Bombyx mori: one gene and its partners. The protein of the gene in region 3 interacts with the protein of the main gene of each other region in a biochemical or structural test. Links are inferred from orthologs where the notes say so. Each region holds a gene or a part of one and is shown on either strand. Other genes may lie near its edges.

Region 1 (5,020 bases), on a different chromosome or scaffold from region 3:
ATGCGAAAACAAAGAAAGAACGGACTGAATCAACACCGAATGCAACCTTCTTTGTTTGTGTTTTGTGTTGTTTTGATTGGAACTGACAGTTGTGGATAGTGTGGCATAATCAGTTCAGATACGATATGCGATATGATTAAATTTGTTAATCGATTAAAGTTCGATTTCAGACGCCTTAACAGATTTTATTTCAAAATTGTGCAATTTAAAAAAATGTTGTTTTTCGAATGATTTCATTTTCATTTGTATATAATATGTTGAACCTAATAAATTTAATGTCTTCGATTTTTTCAGTATTATCGATTATTATTTTTCCTATCTATTCCAGTAACCTGGAGGGGTCATACCATATTCATCTGGCGAGTTAGGTGAGCTCGCGGTGCTTTAACCTGGCGAATTTGCTAACACTAGCCCTAGCAAGAGCAGTGCTTCACAAAATCTACCACTGGATCGGAAACGCGATCCACTGAGAACTGAGAGAATAATTGGCGGTAGGACCTCTTGTGAGTCCGTGTGAGTAGGTACCGCCACCCTGCCTATTTCTGCCTTAAAGCAGTACTGCGTTTTGGTTTAAAGGGTGGGGCAGCTGCTGTAACTGTAACATACTTGAGACTTTAGAACTTATATCTCAAGGTGGGTGGCGCATTTACGTTGTAGATGTCTATGGGCTCCAGTAACCACTTAACACCAGGTGGGCTGTGAGCTCGTCCCCCCATCTAAGCTATCTCAAGGTGGGTGGCGCATTTACGTTGTAGATGTCTATGGGCTCCAGTAACCACTTAACACCAGGTGGGCTGTGAGCTCGTCCCCCATCTAAGCAATAAAAAAAAAAGTTGGCGTGAAACTCAGTGCGCTGGAATTTTGATCTTAAAGTTGTAAAAACAGGAGGTAAATCATGATAAGATAAATTTTTTTTTCATTTATCCTTACACTTCTATATTTACAAAATGAAATAAATAACTTTTAATCCAGAAGTGAAACCTACCCAGAAATAGTTTCCAAGTTAATCTTATTGTTTTATTGTTTTGTTTTACTATCTACCGTGTTTAGTCTAATAAAAACGGGGACAATGTAATAAATAAAAATACCGAAGAATTCCTTATTTAATGTGCTCTGAACTTTAAGCGCTTACAGCTGTCGATCAAGGCTGGTTTGAATGGTTACTTCGAGATAGAACAGCAGAGAGCGAGAGCGCGTATCCGTTTCTCGTAATGAATTAAGTCATAGTGTAACTATGTGTCATTGGTGACCTTAATCTTTAAGGATAATTAGATTTTGTCATCAACAAAGTATAAATATGTTAAGTCAATCGAGAAATTTTATGCCTTGATTCAAGAAAAAAAATCGCGTGGTAGCTGCGATGGTGTGAAAAAATATCAAATAATAGTAATAATTAAAGACAAGTTAAATATATAAATAAATAGAGAGAAATTGTATAATATAAATAATTCATAATAATAATAAATAATTTAAAAAAATCTGTTTTTCGGCAAGCTTAATAATCAATCTGAGTGGCAATCATGAGCAAAGAAGTCCTCGATTTAGTAATAGCAAGTGTGACATTAATGCCCAATGTCAATGTCAGTTTGTACGTTTAAAAAATTTGTCATATTTGTCTATAGCTGAATTCCTTTTTTTTTAGTTTAATTTTGACTTCAAAGTGCTATCTGTTGCGTGTGCCAAATTTTTTATCTAGCTATATTTGGAAATTTATAATACAAAATTAAGTGAAAATGAACATTAGTGGTCTGGAAGATGAAGTTAATTCACCCGTTAAACCAGACGATGCAGAAAGTCCTAGGTGAGACTTGAATTTTTAGCAAAAATCGTCATGGAATTCAATCTGACATGACAGCTGATTTTCAGCGGTAAAGTTGAATGGCGCGAAATAATCACGCCCTAATTATTATTTTTACACTACTATATTTACGGTTATTCAAAGAGTTGGAATATTATTTCAGCAAGAAAAAACTTAGAATAAGTAATTCGACGCGGAAAAGTTGGAGTTTGATGGACAAACGAACGAATTACGAGGTATGTAGTAATTTTTTCCCGCCCTCTTCCGTTCTAGTTAAAAACTTTTTATTTGATATCAATCGTGTTTTAACTATCATTCGAGTTTCTCACAGCTCCTAAATCCAATATTAATATACATATCGAGTTTGGGACGCGTAATTTTATAGTTTTGCCACAAAACACGCAAATGAACTGAGATCGAAATATGTATACATGCTCCCATTTTCATGTATAGATTTTATGGGTTCTCCGGCGTGTAGTGAGCAATGGTTGATACTGCCACCCTGCGAGGTCCCATATAAGCAGTCGGGTGACCATTATTCACAAACAAATAAGACTGTATGAATATATGCTCATACAGCAACATTACAAACAGATTCTGGACCATTTCTCAGTTATGCAAATTTTGTTTAAGTCATCACTATTATAAGTAATGCTTTCAAATAATATTATGTATTTTTATATGTTATGCACATATTTACTAGTGATAGGAGGACATATTGTGAGCCTGTACTGGTAGGTAACATGCCCCTGCCTATTTCTGATGTGAAGCAGCAATGCACTTGGTTTTTAAGGGTGGGGCAGCCATAGAACTGAAACTTAGAGCTTACTCTCATGGTAGGTGGTGGCATTGACATTGTTGATTTATAGACATCAATAACCCATAGGGTTCTGGGAAGCACTTAACACAAGGTAGGCCCTGATTTGATTCACCTATCAAAGCAAGAAAAGCTTTAAAAAAGACAAGGAACGGGACAAGCTATGTTTCTAGTAATTTTTTCTCAATTACTAAATTTCTATTTGTATTTAGAGGTACTAGATTAATACATGAGTGGTCCAAACACACATTCAAGCATAGACATTGAAAAATATAAGGTTAAATGTAGTTTAAAGAAACATTTGAGAATTGTCTTTTATAATCCTGTACCATATTAAATCATAAAAAGCCTATAGGCTTTCATTGAAGAAGATCTGATTTACGGGCATCCTATGTTATTCTACACAACAAAAGGAATATGTTTGATTAAAATTCGATCAACATAGATTAAGATATCAATTTTGATTTGCATCAGACTAGCTGAGCATAGATCATCAAAGTGCTCTATGGGATACTAGGTTTCTTCAAAGGGTTTTGGAGATATGATATAACTTTGTTTTTCTGTACTGAAATACAAAGGTTTGATTAATCTTAGAAATACATATTTTTCAATTCTTATAATGTTTGCATAGTAATAATTACATATTAGAACTAATTGTTTAATACTAATGTTTAATCCATAGATAGAATAATGTCTCATGTTAAAGGGAACTGTATGATTTTGGGAATAAATAAAGTTTAAACTTTATTTTTAGGTATTACAAGAAATGGGGGTTAGTTTGCTTGAGCCTGATGATAATGAACAATCCTGTGAACTGAGTTCGAGCAGTGGAGGGGTGAGTTTTATGTTTTTGTATCGCTGTCTGTGTTTGGCGACACAACCCTTGTGGTAAGTGCTTTGTTTGCTAATGGAAGTCCTGCACAGCCAAGTTACAATGAGGAGCAGGTCTAATTTTAAAACTCCCGGTAACAGTAGGCTCGTTTAACCATTACCATTTTACTGGTGGTAGGACCTCTTGTGAGTCCGCGCGGGTGGGTACCACCGCCCTGCCTATTTCTGCCGTGAAGCAGTAATGCGTTTCGGTTTGAAGGGTGGGGCAGCTGTTGTAACTATACTTGAGACCTTAGAACTTGTATCTCAAGGTGGGTGGCACATTTACGTTGTAGATGTCTATGGGCTCCAGTAACCACTTAACACCAGGTGGGCTGTGAGCTCGTCCACCCATCTAAGCAATAAAAAAAGATAAAAAATTGAGATAATGGAAATTCAACAGTTTATTTTGATTCCAGCACCACCACAAAGGCACAAAACGAAAACGGGACATAGAAAACGTGAATCCAAATACGAATTCATGTTCTCCGATCACAAAACGAAGCCCGGGACCTTCCAAGGCGAAGAGCCCTCGCGTTCACACCGGTAAGTCTTCCATAAAGTCTCGCTGCTCATCAAAATAACACTTTGATAAGTTTAATATCGGTTTGTGCAGAAACTATGTCCTCAAATATTTGCCAGGGGTGGTTGCTGGTTTGTTAAATATGAATGCTTCAAAACAACAATCATTCATGCTTACTTTGGTAAATTAATATTATTTTAGGCTATTTGGGTTTCATCCATAAGTTAATTGTCTATCTTTGTGTTTTTATTTTTATTTTTTTTTATTGCTTAAATGGGTGGACTAGCTCACAGCCCACCTGGTATTAAGTGGTTAATGGAGCCCATAGACATCTACGACGTAAATGCGCCACCCACCTTGAGATATCAATTCTATGGTCTCAGTATAGTTACAACGGCTGTCCCGCCCTTCAAACCGGAACGCATTACTGCTTCACGGCAGAAATAGGCAGGGTGGTGATACCTATCCGCGTGGACTCACAAGAGGCCCTATCACTAGTAATTACGCAAATTGTAATTTTGCTGGTTTGATTTTTATTACACGATGTTATTCCTTCACCGTGGAAGTCAATCGTGAACATTTGTCCAGTACGTATTTCATTACAACAATTGGTACCCTCCTGCGGGATTCGAACACCGATGCATCGTTCAACACGAATGCACCGGACGTCTTATCCGTTAGGCCACGACGACTTCAACGACGACTATGGTCCAGGGTACTGTTAGTAGTGAGAAGGCCGAACTTTTTAAAAAAAAAGGATTTATTCGAAACTACACAATATTTTTAATGAATAATTAATTATAATAAAAGAATTTAGAAATAGTGAGGAAAATTGGTAAACGTCTCACTTCAATGAATATCTGACCCGAACTGAGCCTGGTATGTTCTCATGAAATCACTGTGAGAGAGCTTATGATGAGTAAGGTGTTTGGTAAGCATTAGTCTATACAGGCTAGGGATATAACAGTACGAATACTTTCCATCCTGCTTAAAGAGGATCTAGTCTAAGTAC
Region 2 (4,975 bases), on a different chromosome or scaffold from region 3:
AATGATAATGAAAAACATTTTCAGGCCCTAAAAATATTTGTCAAACTTACAGAGGTTGGTAAAACTGAGAAACATATTTCACATTCTTCCATACCAGACGTTGATATCCTCCTGGGAAGCTGAAAATAAAAAAACTAGTAAGGAAATATCTAAATAAAAAGTGTAAACTGTACAGCAAAATTAAAAAAACCTTGCATTTGATTACATTGATGAGCTATACGTTTGAATGAACACTGTATTCTGCAGAGCAAAGAGAAATAATAATGGACACATAAAGCTTATAGTGGGTAAATCGCACTGTTACCAGTAAATAAAAAAGTCTACAGTTAGGATTGACGTTAACAGCCAGTTATCTCATAAGAGGATCGGGCCCAGTCCAAAACAAAAAGAAGGATTGGCATTTACAAAAAAATTCCATCCAAGTATTACATTTAAACAGTACTGTACATAATAACAACGGTGATTATTTCATAATTTGTCTTTGTAGTTACAGAAATAAATAAAACATGGAATAATGATGATATAAGAAATTAATTATAAACTACTTTTATGGTTTAACTTGAAACTTTTATTGTCATTATAATATTTCCAAATGACTCCCAACACAATATTCAAATTTGAATAAATAACAGTTTAGTGGTTAGTCATCACAAAAACTGTAAACTATTTAAAATGTTAGAAATAATATAATGACTCTAAAATTGCAAGATTACATCACAAAAGTAAATTTAATTATGTCTATTATTCACATATATTGATGAATATAGCATAAAAAATTAAGATTACATTAGCATATACACATATGGTAATGTAATGAAATGTTTTTAATCATGTTGTAATATAATTACTTTTTTTAGGATAGTCTGCAATACATTTACCTTTGGCCTTTGTATGACAGGTTTCCTGAATGGATTGATAACTCTAGCTTCAGAGAACAACTGATCCTGGTCTCCATCATAAAAACGTTCCATAAGCTTCTCTTTGTCCCATTTGAAATGATTCAGTAAGATCCTTGTTGTTGTTGCTGGAATCTGTTTTGACAGGATTTTTTATGCTTTTAACACACCATAAATCAGAATTTTTAATACTTAATCAGGGGATCTTCAAGGACAGGTATATACTATCTGAGTGAAATAGTTGGGACTTCATAGCTACATATCTCCCTAACATTGTAAAGAAAAAAATTGTATAAACTTTCTTTTTTTACATAATTATATACCACTAAAACAAAACTATTAAACACAAACAAATTATTTACATCCACTAGTTTTTTTTGTAAGTCCTATGAGTAGACAAGCTTCTAAAAACTGAAGATAAGAGATCCCTTAACTTAGTTAGTTTAGTCCCTACAGTTAATTTACAGTGTTACAAATTTCCTCAATGATCACTTTCACTTTTGTTACAGTCAATTAAGAGCCAATTTCAAAGATTTTTAAATGAAATATTGCAGTTTCATATCAATGTATTTTATTTAGATTTAGTAAAAATTTGTTACTGGCTATTGTTAACTTAGGTTGATATATATTAGTATAGTTTTAGTGCAAAATGTTAAATTTTACACAAATCAACATTTTTCTTAGTTTCATATAAACATAATTAGTATGTTACTGAGAGCCTTATCATTTTTTAATTTCAATTTTGTTGTCAGAAATGCAATTTATATTTAATAGAGATTGATTGTTACTAGTTCAAAAAATGCTTTTTACTATTTTAAATTTTAAATTTAAATAAAACTGACTCTCGCTTTAGGTTAAAAAATATCATTGAACTATGTAATCCATTAATATAAAAAATGACAGATTAAATTGCCTTAAAGATCTGTTGAGGGGCTAAAGTGGTCCAATGGAAGATTAGTCTAACAAGTACTCCATCTCAACCTGAGAACTACAAGTAGTAAAGGTAGAGCAATCAATGTTACACACACTCATGACATGATTGTGTTATGTGTGCTAAGCCTGCTTGGAGATAGGTCAAATAGCCACTTATGTGCTTCTCAAATGGGAGTGGCTATGCTTCAGACCCTGGGTCCCCAGGCCCCACAGCTAGCTTCCTGGAGAACCTAGTCTGGTGCTTGTAGGATCACTCTCACTCTATTGAATAATAATGACATCAGATTGCAGGGAACCACACGTTTATTGCTTTTGGGGTAATGTTTTTTCATAATTGTTAGTAAGTTGTTTCCAAAGCTGAAATTGTAATGATATACTACTTCAGCACAAACACAAAACCATACCCATAATTTCTACAGTTCATTTAATGAATATTTAGTTAAACAGATTTTTTCCTTAATGCAAAAAAGCATAGGTACATGTTAACATATTAATATCTCCAAATCAATATTAATCAACAATAAGCACTTTTCTAGGCCTTAATATTATCATAGTACATAATAATGCAATTGACAATGAAAACTATTAATTATATATGCAAATGAAATTGTTATTAGAATCTTACTGTAGCTTTTTATTATAAGAAAGAATGTATAACATTGAATAAGAATGTATAACATTCTTTCTTATTCTGTTCTGCATACATATTTGATGAATTAAAATTAGTTATATGAAATCTACTTGTATTTGCTTAATATTTATTTAAGCACCACTCTTTTTGTTCTATTACATTAGTCAGCATTACAAAGTTATTAGTCATCAATTTACAGTTTTATATGTTCTAAAAAATACCAATGACTTTTTACCTTTCATAAAATGCTTTATGGCTCATAAGATTATATTAGGCCAAATAATGATTTCCTGTGATGATTTAATTCTTAGAAACTGTGTTTGCTAATAATAAAATCAAACCATAAACAATACCTACAGTCAAAAATATCATGTCAGATCAATTGCGACTAAATTAGTCCACAACACAAAAGGTTCTATCAAAGTGTACCATTGTACGAGTAACCTCAATCAATTAGTCCATTGTTTACGCTCACAACTAACATACTGACCTCGACGACAGTGTTCACTTCTTTAATGCAGTCAACCATATGTTGGACAATCTCCTCTGTAGACAAAACCTCGTAAGGATACTCCTCAAGCTCAGTTTGTCTTTCCCTTGTACTATGAGTTTCAACGTCCATTGCAAAGTCGACATCGTCTCCACTAGACTCATTACCCGAGTCCACATCGTCTTTCGTGTCATCTTCCGAATCCATCGTTGCAAACTTTAACTAAATTTGTATGATTTATAGTGAATGCACAACCAGAAATCTTATTGTGATGAAATAAATACACCTTAGATTTAGGAAAGGTCAACAATGAAGAAAATAGTTCACCCGCGGGCTGCCAAAACCTCTGACGTAAGGACAGTGTTCTAACATCTAAAAATTTAAATCATAGATAAATAATGTTCTTCTTTTTTTTAGTATGGCAATTAGCTTCTTGCATGACTGTTGTTGGCAGAGTCGAGATAATAAAAATCCTGATTTATTAAACTCTTACATACATACTTATTGTATCTTAAGAAAAATCATATTATGGAACGAAATGAGATGAAGTTAATTTATTTAAGATTGTAATCAATTGGGTTGAAATGAAATGAGATGAGATGGAATAAAATAAACGCACAGTAAAATGATTGTTCTCTGATACTTCAGTGGACTTTCTAGACGAGTCTGTGAAGCCATTCCCAGCGACTTTGTTTCATTTTCTCACATTATGTACTTTTATAGATGCTCAACAGTTAAGAAGCCACCATTAATACGCATTGATGTCGACACATGATGACAAAGTTAAAGTGGAACTCAACCCATTATACGAGACTTCTTATCGAACCGTTCGTTCCGATATCGAGTCGAAGGAACGTGCTCTCGCCCTCGTCACGTACCTCAGTTTGTAGGTATAGCCCGGTCTCCGGAGACCTATCTAGCGCTCTTCGCCGATGACACGGCTATCTACTACTCGTGTAGCAAGAAGTCATTATTCGTTCCGGAAGTGCCGCATCGACATCAACCCCACGAAAAGCACAGCGGTGCTCTTCAAAAGGGGTCGCCCTCCGAATACCACTTCGAGCAGCCCACTCCCTAATAGGCGCGTTAACACCTCCACCGTTAGCCCCATCACTCTTTTTGGCCAGTCCATACCGTGGGCCTCGAAGGTCAAATATCTAGGCGTCACCCTCGACAGAGGTATAACATTCCGTCCCCATATCCAAACGGTACACGACCGTGCCGCCTTCATTTTTTTATTTTTTATTACTTAGATGGGTGGACGAGCTCAGAGCCCACCTGGTGTTAAGTGGTTACTGGAGCCCATAGACGTCTACAACGTAAATGCGCCACCCACCATGAGATATAAGTTCTAAGGTCTCAGTATAGTTACAACGGCTACCCCACCCTTCGAACCGAAACGCATTACTGCTTCACGGCGGAAATAGGCGGGGTGGTGGTACCTACCCGTGCGGACTCCCAGGAGGTCCTACCACCAGTGATTACGCAAATTATAATTTTGCGGGTTTGATTTTTATTACACGATGTTATTCCTTCACCGTGGAAGTCAATCGTGAACATCATATTAGGACATCTCTACCCTATGCTTTGCAAGCGAAACAAATTGTCCTTCCGTAATAAGGTGACACTCTACAAAACTTGCATACGCCCCGTCATGACGTATGCAAGCGTAATGTTCGCTCACGCGGCCCGCACTAACTTGAAACCCCTTCAGGTTATTCAATCCCGATTTTACAGGATAGCCGTCGGAGCACCATGGTTCCTAAGGAACGTGGATCTCCATGATGACCTGGAACTTGGCTTAGTCAGTAAGTAACTACAGCCGGCATCATTGCGCCACTTTAAGAAGGCGGCACATGAGAAACCTCTTGTCGTAGCCGCTGGAAATTACATACCATCGGGTATACCTAACCTGTAGACCGAATGGTAAACAGTCGACGTCGCCCAAAACACGTCATTACGGATCCTCCCGATCCTTTAACGGTGCTTTTAGGCACCACAAGCACCGGTCACCGTCCTCATAGA
Region 3 (5,113 bases):
AATCTCATCAAACAAAAGAATTGCATTGACAACAATCATTTCTAATCCACTTGTGTTCCGAAGGGAGTTAATAACGTGGCATTATCCAGCAGTTCATTTACTACAGATAAGAAGTAATTATTTTAACACAGACACTAGCACTGTTCAAAATAGGATATGAGTATAGCTTAGATATAAGCGATACAAGCTATAGATATGAGTATAGCTAAGATAGTCTATATCTGTTGCACTGCTATTTTACCAATATGTTTTGAAACGGTTGCATTATTTGAGCTTGGTACAAAATTGTGTTCTAGCTTAACATTTATTTTATAGTAGTCGAATTTGAAATGCATCATACACTTAATTGCTGAACCAGGTTATGTTGAAATAAATAATTGACTTACAGTACAGTTTTACTGTACCAAGATATCTTAGATAGAGCTAGCTGTTAAACTTATTGACTATTAAGCAAAATATATATTTTTAATCTATTACTTATTCTTAAACAAACTCACATTCCAAATGTTTGAACAGCAGGAATCTGTCATTTCTTATACCAGGGCTGTATTTATTACTCTTCCCGTATATATATTGTACCATTATTTGTTTTGTAGAGCTATCTTCAATTTGTTCACTGACTCTTTCTTTGTCAGGAAGTAAACACATTAAATAAGCACAGTACAAAGGCTCTTTTGCCTCAGCATCATCAGTTGGAAGTTTCTTGACAACATATGCTAAAAGACTTTGTGTCGCATTCACTGAAGCTTGTATGATATTAGTTTTCTTGTCAAATGTGTGTAGAATAGTCAGAGATTTGGTTTTATTTACATATATGCCAATGTTGAGGACCTCCGCATTATTTTTTGTATTTGAAAGCCAAGTAAGAAGTTGTGAACCATCTTGTTCTTGTCCTAAAAGACGCCACTCTCGTGCTGTAATTTCTGAAAAGCATTTTTCTCGATTTACATATATTTAGAGGATGGCTGTTGCTCTAACTGCCTTTTTTTCGTAAAATCATTTATTTTTTTGTAGTTAATAGTTTCATTTATATATAAATAAAATAATATTGTCTGGAATTACAGCATTAGAACTACATATAGTGAATTTGAAAATATTATTAATAAATGTTTAAATTTATTTGACCAATTAACACAAGTAAATGAGTATGTAAGTAATTAGAAACCATTTTAAGGCCAGCCAACCTGCAGTCGACAATATTTTTAACTAAAGCGTCAGGCCCGATTGAGATAGCAATCCATAACGCAAAGCTTCAACATACCCTCCTCACTTGCTGCCTGAAGTATTCCACACAATTTCACCGCAATATTTTGAACAGCCATTTTAAAATAGTTTTTTTCAATTTCACCTGTTACATTTACAAATAATAACAACAGTTCATCATATCGCCACGTTATCAATTGAATCAACGCACCTTTATTGACTTTTCTCGCTCATTTTCCATCAGCTGGCGCCCAGCTGTTAATGTGGTCTGAAGTTAGGATTATGCTTTTTGCCAACAAAAAGAAAATAATTTTAATACGACTTTGTTGGTATTCCTGTATCACTACAGACACAAACTGTCCAATCAAAAAGAAGCGTTGATTTTGGATCTACATTTCGTTTCACTCGAAAAAAATTAGATGAAGAATTAACAATAAAGATTTTTAACCTTGATTCATTCCACGGAAAATCTGAAATTGAAAAAAGGTTCTGCAGTGCAAACAAGCTTTTAAAAAAATCTATTTAGTCTTTCCTTTTGTCTATTTAAAAAATCTAAAAATTAATATTTTTAAATATTAAAAGTGTTCGCGAAATGAATGAGTTTTCAATAATTTTCAAACCAATTAAGACCGTAGAAAATATGTGAACTAAAAATGAATCAAACCTTTTCTTTATTTCGAATTAGTCTTGGAACGGAAATACACAAAAATGTTATGCGTGCAACGAAACGTGTTATTTCAGTGACGTACATTTTCAGAAGAAACAATCATGAAGCTAGCCAATGTTAACCCCGTTGGGCTCCTAAGTTTTACCGCGACATTTTCGCGCGGAAGCCGGGCGTTATCGAGCCGTGAAAACCTGAAAAGTGCTATGTGTAAGCAGAAAATCATCTGATCTGTAACCTTTTTACCTACATTTGGCTAACTTACGACCACGGACGTGAATGTTTCGGAATAAACTAAACTAATAGTGTCATAAATTGACATTCCATATCTGGTGCATGAAGAAATTTAGTTTTGTGTAAATTAAATCAATTTGTGAATGATCAGGTATGTACTGAGTTATTTTTTAGCAACCCAAGTATATAAGGAATCGAATTAAGATACGGTATCTATTGTAATTTTTAGACTTTCTTTACAAATTAGGTTATAAACTACTGTGGGCGATAAGCCAAGCCAATTAGATTGTCAACTATTAGGCTCCCTAAATTGCCTCAAATTCGGTTTTTAAAGTAGTATTTTAGACGAATTTTAATAACAAGATAATACAGTGTCACGTTTAAGCTATTTTTATCAATTTCCTTATGTGGATTGGGCGAGAAACCCAAGCTTGCGACGTGTCTAATGGCGCTGACGGAATGATTTCGCGCGCGAATATGACGGTTTCGTGGCATTTTTTGGAGCAGCTGATCGATTTATTTTTACTTTTCTTTAATATGAAATGATACATTAGCCTTTCTGCTGACTATATAACATAAAAATACACACATAATAATGTTAAATCCACGAGATATTGTCCTCTAAAAAAAATTCTCCCGCCAACCAGCAGGGGGCACGCTGCAGAAACACACACTCATTTCTCATACAATATGCATTAATATGCCTTTATTTGCATCTTTGGAAGTATCCTGAAGGATCCCTGATAAATAAGATAATTTATTAAGTACGATAATTTGCTAATTATGGCCTCAATACGGTTGTCAAGTGACATAACCCTATTTGCAACTTGAACATGACATGCGGTAATTTTAGACAGTATAATTCTAATTTGGACCTTCGAATGTAAGATGTCGATCTGGATATTGAAACTTTGTTTTATTTCAGGCTGAAAAAATAGTACTACATCCCAACTGTCTCTTCCAATATGGCTGAATCTGGGTATGTACTTACTCCATTCTTTAATCACATAGAAATAGCTAGCTTAAAGTTTGAGTGCATATTGACTGTTGTTGACCCTATTTTACAGGTCTCCCTCTGAAGCCAGTGAAAAGCGCATGACCTTAAAACGTAAAAGAAGCTCTTCTGATGATGAGGTGTGTACATTTTCAACACAATAAATGCTTTTCAGTTGAACCTATACTTATATTTACATGTTTACTCTTTTAGTTAGAAAACCAGCCTCCACAGAAGATAGCCTCAACCCTTGATGAACAATTATGTGATCAACCAGCGCTTCATGTTGTGGTAGAATCATCATCATGCTCAAGCGATGATGAAGGCTCTCAATATGGGAACAGTGATCAACCAAGGAGTGTTTATACAGACATTGATTACAACCCTGACAGCTTTCTGAGCCCACCTAGTGTTTCTGATCTGCCCAACAGCGTACTGAGCCCCTTAGAAAATGTGGCCAGAGGCGAGTCCACCCCACACTCTAATAAAAGGGCTAAGTGAGTAGTTTTTCTGATCTGAATTATTTTTGAACTATCTTAATAATATCAAGGCCCCAAACATTATCTTGTGATGACTAAGCTCTTATATTATTTGCCTATAAACAAAAGAAAAAAGTTTATCACTGTGGGATTTGCCAAATACACATCATCTGTCAGTTTCTGAATTTGCATTGTAACTAAACAAAACTTTTACTTAGTTGAACTGTTTCAGTGCTAGTAAGCCTCCATGCCCTACACCTCCAAAACGCAAATGTCCCTTGCCTGGATTGTCTTGGGCTGATCCTGCTGATGTCTGGAACAGCATGTGCGAGTGTGATGCCAGGTCCAGCAAGAAGAAGAACCCTAACATGTTTGACAATCATCCTAATCTTCAGCCCCGGATGAGAGCTATTTTACTGGACTGGCTAAATGAGGTAAGTCAACATAATATGATATAAAGGGTGAGGGGCTTTGTTTACGAATATTAATGGATAATTTATGGATCAGGATTTACCAAGTCTGGCTGTCAGATATCCATTTGTTAAGTAGAAATGTAATTTGGCAATGAATATTATATAAAAATAGGAGTGATAATACAGAAAATAAAATCTTCCAATTTTAACCTTACATAACTACATATGTCTAGATGAAACTCGTGCATTAAAAAAAAGTTGTCTTGCACTCATAATGTTGACAGGCAAGCTACTGCAGTGTTTTTTAGGAAATAGGTATTCAAAAAAAAAATTGAAATTAGAACCTCTTCTTTATTTTATTTATTGTAAAATGTTTCATGCTGCCCCATAGTGGTTTTTGACATAAAAAGGTAAGTCATAATGTTACAGTTTTTTATTTACAATTGGTATATATGGAAAGTGATGTAATATAAGGTCAATGACCCGTTTTTTGCTGTGTTCATTGAACTTTAAGCCAATGCGATTTCAATATGGTTCAGTTAACCATGTTTCAGTTGTTTTTTTTTTATATATTTAAGTGCAAATTACAAGTTTATAACCTCACACATTTTTAGGTTTTATGCTACGACTATAGGCGTAAATGTGACGTCATAAATAGAATGTTTGTAGTTGACATTTCGAATTGTCTAGAATAAGTCGCCCTGCACCATTGCGATAGCCGACAACATTGAATCAGAAAGAAAAAAATCTCGTTCCAAAAATAGAAACTTGCCCTCTCCTGGCTCACGCCATTGCTCTAATTATTAACTCTTAGTGATTTTGTTTAAAAATTAACTAACTATTCTAAATCGCCTTATTTAATAGTATATACGATTGACAGCTATGTGATTATATACTAATAATATAATATATTTTGAAAGGAAGGACGCGTAGTACACGTCTCTTGTTGAAACTTCCGCATTAATCGTTCGAAATGCACGTCATTCTTTTAAGAACTTTTGATCAGGAAAGCGGTGGTATCATTTGGAAATAAAGAGGAAATAAAAAAACTGAAATCAGAATCGGAACCCCGAAGTCGAAGTCGTCGTGGCCTAACGGATAAGACGTCCGGTGCATTCGTGTTGAG

The links.
Region 1: the proteins of Cyce (region 3) and S-phase kinase-associated protein 2 form a complex in vitro, tested with the Homo sapiens proteins (2 studies listed by BioGRID, with this or other methods). The link is inferred for Bombyx mori from reciprocal best matches to the Homo sapiens genes CCNE1 and SKP2.
Region 2: of the proteins of Cyce (region 3) and E3 ubiquitin-protein ligase ariadne-1, one has a biochemical effect on the other in vitro, tested with the Homo sapiens proteins (3 studies listed by BioGRID). The link is inferred for Bombyx mori from reciprocal best matches to the Homo sapiens genes CCNE1 and ARIH1.

What each region holds. Positions count from the first base shown.
Region 1 is NC_085117.1:567,994-573,013, reverse strand, and holds the start of S-phase kinase-associated protein 2, read left to right. Parts: upstream 1-1,622; 5' UTR 1,623-1,733; coding exon 1,734-1,801; intron 1,802-1,961; coding exon 1,962-2,034; intron 2,035-3,369; coding exon 3,370-3,450; intron 3,451-3,904; coding exon 3,905-4,031; intron 4,032-5,020. UniProt on the Homo sapiens protein: Substrate recognition component of a SCF (SKP1-CUL1-F-box protein) E3 ubiquitin-protein ligase complex which mediates the ubiquitination and subsequent proteasomal degradation of target proteins involved in cell cycle progression, signal transduction and transcription.
Region 2 is NC_085127.1:9,590,769-9,595,743, forward strand, and holds the start of E3 ubiquitin-protein ligase ariadne-1, read right to left. Parts: upstream 3,333-4,975; 5' UTR 3,158-3,332; coding exon 2,951-3,157; intron 1,032-2,950; coding exon 879-1,031; intron 120-878; coding exon 51-119; intron 1-50. UniProt on the Homo sapiens protein: E3 ubiquitin-protein ligase, which catalyzes ubiquitination of target proteins together with ubiquitin-conjugating enzyme E2 UBE2L3.
Region 3 is NC_085111.1:1,945,197-1,950,309, reverse strand, and holds the start of Cyce (cyclin E), read left to right. Parts: upstream 1-1,972; 5' UTR 1,973-2,252; intron 2,253-3,026; 5' UTR 3,027-3,066; coding exon 3,067-3,080; intron 3,081-3,168; coding exon 3,169-3,235; intron 3,236-3,308; coding exon 3,309-3,592; intron 3,593-3,806; coding exon 3,807-4,008; intron 4,009-5,113. Other genes in the region: protein pigeon, read right to left, coding at 498-923, 1,262-1,322. UniProt on the Homo sapiens protein: Essential for the control of the cell cycle at the G1/S (start) transition.